2 linked regions of the Arabidopsis thaliana genome follow. The protein of the gene in region 2 interacts with the protein of the main gene of each other region in a pairwise test. Each region holds a gene or a part of one and is shown on either strand. Other genes may lie near its edges. The genes, in order: ZTL and DI19.

Region 1 (5,919 bases), on a different chromosome or scaffold from region 2:
TCCCTAACATCTTCATCATCTCAATCTCATTCACATCCATTCCTTCTTCATCTTCGCCTCCGCCATTATCAGCAGCATCACTTGGTTGTTTATCCTTCTTCTTAGTAATAGTAGACGCATTCTCGTCAACGGAATCAGTCACTACTCTTTTGCGATTCCTTTCTTTCTCATCGTCTACTGAACCCTGGCGAGGCCGTTTTCGCGACGGAGCATCTGGAGAAGGAGACCTGCGCCTGTGGTGTCGTTGACGGTCCCGGTCCCGGTCACGGTCAATCGAGCGGGAACGAGAGCGATACCTCTCCGGAGAGCGCACGTGGCGAGCACGAGCGTGGTGGTCTGGAGTACGAGATCGGGATTTTTTGTTTCTAAGCCCTCGGTCACGGTCGCGCTCTCTATCTCTTTCCCGGTCTCGATCACGGTCACGGTCACGGTCGTCTCTACCTCGGCGTCTATCACGGTCTGGTTCACGGTCCTTATCCCTCTCTCGTTCGCGGCGGTCGCGCTCTGACATGGTGGTGATGCGACTGAGGAAGGTGCTAGTGTCAGGGTTTAACCAATTTCAACACTGTAAATTTTCTTCCCCAATTTTTTCTATTAAAATGAAAATTTGGGGTTTTATCCTCTATTTTTCCAATTTTCTTATATTCATCATACTCAATGGAAAAATAATAATAATCTCATTTTGTCTCCGAACTAAAAGTATGAAATTGGAAATGAAAATAGTGGTCCAATAGCATAAGAAGAGAAAGGATCTTATTAAAGTTTGTAATCATAAATAAAATTTACAGAATATGAACACAAATGCACTTCTCAAACTTCAAAGAGAACAACAGAAACAAGCACTACAGAGAGAAAGAGAGAGATGACATTTTCACTATATATATTATATAAGCACTAAAAGTCCTCCTAATGAGGAAGAAAGAAGAAGAAGGACTTAAAAAATATGAGCAGTACCAAAGTCCCACCACTGAGTCGCTCTCCCCTAAAGCTCCAGTATCCTAACCGAGAACCCTTTTTCATCTTCTTCTATGGCTGGGTTCTCTTTCATACATAGGCTCTCTTTGGTTACGTGAGATAGCTCGCTAGTGATAATTCGTGTAGCTCACTTAGCATCCATTCTTCTCCGGTCTGACCACCTAGCACTATCGCTCGTGTTCCTCCCACAACACAAGTGCCATGTCCCCAAGCAAACCGAGGCGGTCTTCCTGGAATGTTTAGTATTCTCCAAGTCGGTTTGTCCTCCGTTGGGTCAAGTAGATAAAGCTGAGACGCTGAGTGAAGCCCTGCCACTGAGCCGCCAAATATCAAGATTCTGCCTCCAGGGAGGTTAACTGCAACGTGATCTAGCCTTGGTGGTGGTGCTACTCCTCCTGGGTTTCCTGCTCCAGGCATTCCGCTACCGGTCACACACCTCCAACAAGGCTCCTCTTCGCTTAGATCCATTGTGAAGACATCACTCGAACGGAATTTCAAAGGCCCGCTCTTAGCAAGACCACCAAACATCAAGATCTTTCTTCCTCCATAAACCGATAGTGTGTGGCCTAACCGGGAAGGCGGAGTCCAGGCAGCTGGAATCTCTCTCCACACTGGTTTCTCTATTGAAAGGTCGAGGAGGAACGTGTCACTTAGAAGAACGCCGGAATCTGCACAGCCTCCAGAGACTATCAGTTTGGTTCCGTCAAGGGTGCATGAGCTGTGCCATGATCTTGGTAGAGGCGGAGCCAAACCCGAAATTTCCCTCCAAGTAGGCGGCTTAGCATCGAGATTCAAGACAAACACATCGTTCAGCAAACCTTGCTGACCACAGCCACCAAATACAACCAGATTGGAGCCATTTACACAAGTGAGCGTGTGGCCCCAGCGTCCTGGAGGAGGGGAGCTCACTTTGACATGTTGCCATTCAGGGTAATCAGAATTCAGATCTAAAACAAAGGTATCATTCATAGGCTGCATATTCACACCTTCTCCTCCAAACAGAACAACTCTGTTCCCGACAGCACAAGCACTAAAATTACAGCGAGAAGGCTCAACAGAACCTCCAACCGAAAGTTTTCTCCAAGCTGCAGCTTCAAGGGTGGTCAGTTCTCTAGCCAAGCGGCCCCAACCGAGTCTTTTAGCACCAGGAACAGTCTCTAATACCCGTGTTGTTTCACTTCCCCATGCATTCTGACAAACCCTTCGCCAAAGATCCTCATTCTTTGTCAGCACATATAGCCTGCGGCACACAGAGCTAACAGATGCAACGTCTCTTGGTGTCAGGCGTGACAATATCTTCATAGACACAACCTCGTCACTCAGCTGGAATAACCCACACATTCCTCGGGAAACATTCCGCTCCCCAGCAGCTAAAGCTGAGTATATCCCATCAATTGACTTTTCTTTTGTTGAAGATCCAAGAACAGGTCCAAGGTCAATGTCTGTCTCGATAAAGAACTGGATTCCAATTATATGGGTAATAGTATCATCGTCTCCATAAATAGGAGTCAACCGCAATCTATTCATCAACGGAGATCCATCTTTCCTAAAGTTCAACAACTCGCCTTGAAATTCAATGCCCTCATCAATACATTTTCTTATCTCGGAAACAACCATAGAGTCAACTAATGGATGCCTTCTTTTAGCAAACGGTCCTCTACATTGCAAGAAGCGGCTGCAGAATCCGAGAAATTAATTAAGAAACAATATAAGACCAAAAACAAAATTTATCTCCAACTTACTGATGCGGAAAAGCAATAGACAAAATATTTGGCCGTGCATGTAGAGACTGAAAAAAAAAACAAATACACCAAACAAGCATAATTATAACCTAACCAGATTTTCATTCTGTTCAAGAATAACAACTATTTGAACTGATCAGCTCCTCCTGTAAGATCAAAGCTTATTAATAAAGGAAGCTACTAGCACTTCTCTCATGGAAAACTAACACACAACTAAACGCATTGGACTTAGCCTTTTCACTGGTTCACTGCACATCAACATTGTAAAGAATTTATTGTGTTCGCTACGACCCCGAGAAACTACACAGGGATAGCTCGCTTTATCTCGGCATCTATATACACTTTCAAGTTTCCTTAACATGCGGAGCAGCTGAAACAGCTCAAAAACAGCCATGAGAGCTCGATTAATATGAAAACTACAATCACTGAATAAACATCTGAAGGCAGAGAATACTTAGGCACACACAGAGACTCCACTGAGTCTTCTCTGCCATTTGGCAGAGACTCTAATGATTATCTAACAATAGACATATCTTTGTTTTCTCTCCACCAAAGTATCCATCCATACTAAATCTAGTGATCAATAGAGTGTCCTTCAGATTACCATCATCACAAACATTCCTCACCTATCCTCAAACTAAACGGACCTTAATCAAACTCCACCAAGTAGCCAAAATTTGGTAAAGTGAGCCAATAACCAAAAATAGAAATTCCTCGCATCAATTAGAACACTAATCACAAAGATAACAAAAAAACAACTAACCAATTTCCTCCGAGAACTTCCTCAGCACGATACCCTGTAACCATTTCGAAGACGGTGTTGACATATATAATAGGTTGGTCCGGCTCAACGGCATCAGTAACAACGAATCCACAAGGCGCCGTGTGAAGCAAATTCCCAACGGGATATGGAATTGGTCCACCTCCGGGAAAAAGACCTCCCTCTTCATCATCCGCCAGTGACGAAGCATCATCGGCGCTTAGATCGGAACCACTGTCCCACTCCATGAAAATTCAAATAGTTACCAGACTGATTTCAGTCGCCGGAGATTATGAAGACGGCGATTGAAAAACAATCCGGCGTGAGATAATCGGAAAATTTTGGGAAAAGGAGATTTTCGGGGGTTGAGAGAGAGAGAGAGAGAAGATGGTGGACAAAGAAACGAGTGGTAACCGTCGAGTTTGGTGGAAAAATCTCGGCCGTATGAGTTCATTCGAACGGGTCGGATTTTATCCGGGTCCGGATTTCTCTGTCGGGTCAAGTAGATAAAACCATAAAACTCCCCTTGATTTTTGGGAAAAATGTCATTAAAATCTCCAACTTATTGAAAAAGTTGATTTAAATTATCAACTTCCAACTAAACGAAATAAATATCAAATTTTTGTTGACTTTCCAAATAAATACCAAACTTTCGTATATATGGTCATATTAGGTATAATATTAAGTAGATTAACATATTGCGTTCACGGAGTTAATTTTCTGTTAACAGATCCGTTAATTTAAAACGTTATTGTTTCCTATAACAAGAAAGCGACCTCGTTTTATTATAACGACCGAATTAAATTCCCAAATCCAATCTTAAATCTCCAAATCAAGCAAAATTCTAACCCTAAATCTTCATATGATTTGAAATTGGGATTTAATTGAGCATTTATGACATAACGACGTTGTTTTATTGTTATAGGGAATATTGTCGTTTTCAATTAACGAGTCTGTTAACAAAAAATGGACTCTAATAACAGGGTCTGTTAATGTCATACTTAATATGGCTACTCGAACAAAAGTTTGATATTTATTTGGAAAGTCAACCAAAATTTGGTATTTATTTGGAAAATCAACAAAAGTTTGATATTTATTTCGTTTCGTTGGAAGTTGAGGATTTAAATCAACTTTTTCAATAAGTTGGGGATTTTAATGACATTTTTCCCTTTGGTTTTTAGACTCTCTTTAGCTGAGCTGAAGCTTATTACTTTCCAAATTTGTGGGCTCATGTCTTACAATAAAGCCCATTACAATAAAGCCCATTATAGTCCAGTAAATGAGATTATGTGACTGAATAGTATGAGTTTCGTAATAAGAAGACGCCATAAAATGGAAAAATAGCAAGATCTATAATTATAGTTACGTAAATGAAAATTTGTTAAGGTTGTTGGTTGCTAAATCTTTTCTTGAACCGTCTCAATTATCAATTGCCTATCATTTAATCTCTTCTGTAATGTTCCTTTTATACGCAGAGGACCAAACTAGTTACATCAAATCAATAGATAGTTAGTTGAAACAAATAACTTCTCGTAACTACTGGTTAATCGAATCGGTTCGGTATATCATAGAATCATAGGTGCAAACAGACTTTTAAACCAACATCAAACAGCTGAATTGGAATTAAGATTTAACCCAACTTTAGTGTTTTATATCAACAATAATAAGAATAAGTTGTAAGTACTTATATATAAGTAGTTAAGTACTGTTTTATATCACCAATAATAAGACTGTTTTATAAGCCTAAGTTACCGATATGGGGCAACTATCTTATGAACTTTATTTGAAGGTTATTATCTCATGAAATGAATTGACATACTCAATTTAACAAAACAGGCTTACCTCGTGTTATTAATTATAAGTTTCGTATAAAAATAATAAAATTGATAGTAAAAGTTAAAACAAAATGGAGAAATTGTTTGTAATGATGCTAAATACAATTTTTTTGTATTATATTTCCCTTACAAAGTAGCAAATTGGTCAAAATTCTTCGTCACCTCTTTCTTTTTTCCGACATTCTTCACCTCGTTCTGTAAAACTACTAAGTAAGTAACTAATACAATGCCATACGACTAAACAATATCTTCGCAAATAAAAAGAAAAAGAAAATATTTCTTTTAAATTATGGTATTTAGTTTTTAACAAAAATATAAAATATAGCGATTTACATTTGTATTACTGATATAAATAGATCATATAATTTTGACATTAAAGACTTTAGAAAAATTATAATTGTAAATATTTTTTTTGTGTATGACAATTTAACACATAAAAAGGACGTGAGAGAACAAGTGGGTTTGGTCGGTTGTTTTCTTTACACTTTGCAAAATTCTCTATTCATTCATATCTTCGACGAGATGCTAAAATGCCCCCACTATAAAATTCCTTTTTCTTTATACAAATTTTGAAAGAAAAAAAATTCCATAATATCATGATTAATTG
Region 2 (4,810 bases):
TTCGAATCAATGAATTTTCATATTGGAATTCTCTTAATCCGTAAAATGATTGAGAACAATGTGAAAATAGAGGTACAAACATAAATAAAGATTTGTGAGTCAAATTTAAAGAAACTTAATTAAAAGTAACAACTTACAAAATAATAAGAATGTCTTAAGCTTAAAATTTGATTAATTAATTTATACTCTAAATTCATAATATAACAAATTATAAAATTACCATTCAATTTCTAAATAAAAACTTTAAAAAAATATATAAAGAAAATTCCAATCTTCATCTGAAACTAAATATCTAAATGAAAAAAATAACATATCCAAAATTTCACAATCTGAATCTAGAAATTTCAATTTAAATTTCTAATTCTAAAAATTGAGAACGGCTCCTAAATATACTAATCTAAATAGAAATCTAACAATGAAATTTAAAATCATTGAGAGAATTGATATTGAGTGAGAGATATCAAGAGAGTTTAAATGAGAGAAACATATCTTTATAGAGATGTGAATGAAGAGAGAAGTGAGATTGAGTGGTAGAGATCAAGAGCGTTTAAGTGAACGACGAGCGAGAATTGAGTAGAGAAAAACACACACACACCAAAAGTAACAATATTGTTGAATTATTCTTAAACAGATGACTTCGTACGTGGTTTCTCAACCACTCTTTTATCACTCTTTTACTAGCTTACAAGAGTGAACATTTTTCATTTCATAAGACACACAACACAAGAACACCAATAGGGTTTATGCTACAGACAAGAGGACTTATTCTTCTTCCTATATCTTACTTTTCAATTGCTTAATAAACTTAAGAAAACACATTTCTACGCAATGTATTTAGTAGCACCAAACAGACACAATACATAGATAGATATAGATATTGATAACATAGCTGCATCTCGCTCTTCTCCGTCTTCTTCTCATCCCAACCATTGTTTTTCTCGAAACCTACACACAGTTGAATCAAGATTCCGATGAAAATGTGTCTGTGTAGGTTCTTTTACACAACTAACAGAGCTTCATATATACCAGATTCTCTCAAGTCTGATTCGAATTAGTTCCTCCATGTTCTCAATCTTTGTATGTGCATTAGACTTCATCGAAAATGGCTGATGACAAGAGCCTCTGAACAAACTCTGATTTGTGCCTCCTCTCTTCCCGATCTTTTAACGAGACCGGTGAGATGAACACTTGTCTCTTGCTGAACAAGTTCAATGCTAATCAAAAACTAAACCTTCAAAAAACTCTATAATCTAATAAAGAAAGCTAATATAGAATCTATACCGCTCTATCTGTTTATCCTCGGATACGTTTTTGGTTTGGCGTGGCGCAGGAGAACTCTGTGATCGTGTAGGTGAGATAAATGACGACAGGAGAGGATCAGGAGTTACACTTGACGCAACAGAACCATTACGAGAAGTAAATCCTAACAACCTTTGTAGATCTCCTTCTCTTAGTTCTTTCCGAAGAAGTGAAAGTGTCGAATTGGTACCGCTTTTTCGTGACTTTCTCTTTCGCTGCAAGTAAAACTCATTAAGGAATTCAACAGAGGAATGTGATTCCATGGTGAGAAACTAAGAATATCTGTAAGTTATAAACGTAGAAATTGAAAAAAGGATATCTTAAATAAACTCCCATGGTGAAGCGTTTGTGTGCTACGATATCAACTCCCACTTTAAGAGAACAAACAGGGCATACCTGAAAAATCCAATGTACACATTTGCTATATAATTTTTGATTCCAAGTTGATTTGATAGTAAAGACCAGTAGAGAGCAATACCGCGTTCTTCGACTCTAAAGTATGTTCATCATCTATGTGACAGCACAACCCGATGATATCATACGATTCTGCACAGAACGGGCAAGCAAACTCCTCCTGGAAATCATCATCTCCATCTATTTCTTCAAAGCCCATTAACATTTCTACAATTTTCAAACATAAAAGATCATATATATTTGCAAGTATGATACTGGTAAAAGCACAAAATTTCATCTAGCCAAGTAACAACAATATGAAAGAAAAACAAAACTAGACTCCATGAGACAACCTGCTGAATCATGTTAACCTAGATAGGAACATCCAGTTTTTTTGTTGTCTTTATTTCAGAAGCAAATCTATTACAGCTCCTAAACACAACAAGTTTAAGAATTTTTCTTACATAGCTCAAAAACCTATATAGCCAGAAACATAAATATGAGTCAAACTGTTCTTTCACTTACATAACTAACCAAATAATTTCGCATAAAGTCAAGAAAACACGATATTTGAATCAAACTCATGTGATAAAAAAAGTTTGAAACTTTATTCAAATATTCCCTTCTTGAGAGCTCAAAAATCAAAATTACCAAACTTACAAAGCTCAAAATCAAAGTTGACATAAAGGTACTGTAGTTTCTCACCAGATCGGGATCGAAGCGTAGCTAGAAATCTCTTGGAATCAGCGTCCATCTTTGCCCCTACGAAATTGTCGAACTTTTGGAGCAAATAGAAGGACGAATTTGTAATAAATCTCAAGCCGGATCGATCCTGAATAGATGAAGAAGAAGACGATGATTTCTTGGTAGGAGGAGAGAGGAAGAGAAAGTGCGTTGTGAATGAGGACTATTATCGATTTCTCAGAAATGGTGAGACCGGTTCTCGACATTCCAGTTCCCGGTTTGTTGATTTGTTCCGGTTATCAGTCCCGGTTCTTCAATTTTATCTCGTATCATCGATTCTGATGGACCGGTTAACAAATTCCAAATCCCGGTTGGTATTTGTCTGGTATTATCGACTTTCAGAAATGATGGACCGGTTCTCGAATTTCCAAATCCCGGTCGTTTTTCTCTTCCGGTTTATAGTCGCAATTCGTTGTTTTCTTTGGTATTATCGGTTTTGCAGAAATTATGGACCGGTTATTGGATTCATATTCCCGGTTTTGTTGTGTGTTTGTCCGGTTTATAGTCCGGGTTCGTTGCTTTCTCTGAGTTTGTATTTCTTATGTTATTTATTTCTGGAGCCCTAAATTTATCAATCGAACAGAGCAAATCGTTTCCTTCTTCCGAACAGAGTTCATCATCCATCGCCGGAGTAGCTGTCTTCTTCTTCTTCTTTTTCCGGTAAGTTTCCTGAGAATTAGTTCTTTATTCTTCATTAACGAAGATAAAGGAGACATATTTGCTTAAGATTGCTCTCTGTTTCAATTCTCTAGTTTCTTAAATTCTCCAATTTGGTTCCAATCGAAGTACAGTATATTGGTCGTCGTGTTGCATTTCGATTGAAGTTTGTTTATGGGTTTTCTTAAGATCTCTCAATCAGTAGGGTTTAGAATCTATAGGATCAAATTTAGTTTCAAACTTTCAATCTCGTTGCTTTAAGCTTTAATAACATCTACCTAGTGACCTACAAGCTTAGCACTAGTAAAGTATGATCTTACTGATCAGAGGATTGTAATTTGTAAATATTGTGGCTGAGGTTTGCTTAGTCAAATAATGTGCTTGCATCTTGCTTTTGGTATTGCTGATTTTGTTGATCTCTGGATCTTGTTCTGTTTACAGTAGTATCATGGCTATGACATGGTCTAATTTGTTTTCTGTTTTGTGTAGGTTTGAAGTTTGCTTCGCTCTGCCTTTGAAGTCTGTTGATTATTTCTCCAACAGGACCTTGGACAGATATTGTTAATATGTTTTCTGGGATAAAGATCATACCTCGTGATGAGGTAAAGTTTCTAGTTTCATATGATCCTGAATTTTCTTTTGTGTTTATTCATCTTGGATTGAGTTTGATGTTATTTTTCTTTGCTATTAGGTGCATGATGATAGTTGGGAGGGGGAAAGAGAGAAATCTAAAGGTGGGAAGGATAGAAGAAGAAAGAACAAGGACGTAAATAGAAAGGAGCGTAGGGGAGAAGGAAGTAAGAGAGATGGGAAGAAGATTGCCAAGAGTGGAGATGGCGAGACCGTTGATGATGACTTGCTTGAAGGGGATATTGTTAGAAAGAAAATGGGTCTCGATTGGATGCTGCCGCCAACCCGAAAGGCTGATCCAAACCCTGCTTCAGATGTAGAGGATAAATTTGAAGAAAGTGCACCTGAGGTGAGGGAATTTTTATTTGAGAGTATCTTTCTAACAAGTCCGTATTAGATAGTTAAGTTAATGCTTTTTATTTTCTCTGCCAGGTAACTAAAGTTAACCCAAGGGAACTAAATCCTTATTTGAAAGAAAATGGAACCGGTTATCCAGAGGAAGAATCTGAGAAAAAACATGGTAAAGACCAGCTTTTACCTTCTTCGGTTGTTGGAGATGGGGGTGCAAGTTGGAGAATGAAAGCACTCAAGCGTGCGAAAGAACAGGCTGCGAGAGAAGGGCTAAGGCTTGAGGAGGTAAGTTTTGTATTGATTTACGATTAATATAGTCTCGTTGGTCTTTGAGTATTGCCTTATCATTTTGAGGGTTATGCAGGTTGCTGGCGAGCGATATGGTTCTCTTGGTAACCTTGTTGAGTCTGTCGCATCTCAAAGAGCAGCTCCATCTCGTGCCCATTTGAATGCCATAAATAATAGAAGAAGAGGGGAAAATGAAAAGAATGATTCAGAAAAAAAACCAAAAGAAAGAATTTCTGAGAAGGTACATGAACCGCTAATGTACTGTTTCATACTGGTTAGTACTGTTTCATACTGGGAATTATGACAGCTTATATTCTAACTTCGTGACGTATTTTATTTGAAGGGTAATAATCGGGAGTATTTGAAAGGTGAGTCGTTGAACCATCGTGTATTGAGAGCCCCCAAAACCGACCCTTCTTTATCCTGGGGAAAGAGAAAGAGCCAAACT

What was found.
Region 1: the proteins of DI19 (region 2) and ZTL interact in a two-hybrid assay, tested with the Arabidopsis thaliana proteins (one study listed by BioGRID).

The regions. Positions count from the first base shown.
Region 1 is NC_003076.8:23,239,403-23,245,321, reverse strand, and holds ZTL (Galactose oxidase/kelch repeat superfamily protein), read right to left. Parts: upstream 3,896-5,919; 5' UTR 3,726-3,895; coding exon 3,481-3,725; intron 2,651-3,480; coding exon 1,107-2,650; coding exon of another isoform or gene 1,066-1,106; exon of another isoform or gene 999-1,065; coding exon 907-998; 3' UTR 732-906; downstream 1-731. Other genes in the region: AT5G57370 (U4/U6.U5 small nuclear ribonucleoprotein), read right to left, coding at 1-511. UniProt on the Arabidopsis thaliana protein: Component of an E3 ubiquitin ligase complex that plays a central role in blue light-dependent circadian cycles.
Region 2 is NC_003070.9:21,072,280-21,077,089, forward strand, and holds DI19 (drought-induced 19), read right to left. Parts: upstream 2,599-4,810; 5' UTR 2,447-2,598; coding exon of another isoform or gene 2,398-2,446; intron 2,170-2,397; 5' UTR 1,991-2,169; coding exon 1,781-1,990; coding exon of another isoform or gene 1,778-1,780; intron 1,696-1,777; coding exon 1,630-1,695; intron 1,515-1,629; coding exon 1,282-1,514; intron 1,199-1,281; coding exon 1,087-1,198; 3' UTR 1,027-1,086; intron 946-1,026; 3' UTR 576-945; downstream 1-575. Other genes in the region: AT1G56290 (CwfJ-like family protein), read left to right, coding at 3,660-3,695, 3,785-4,072, 4,156-4,359, 4,439-4,603, 4,706-4,810.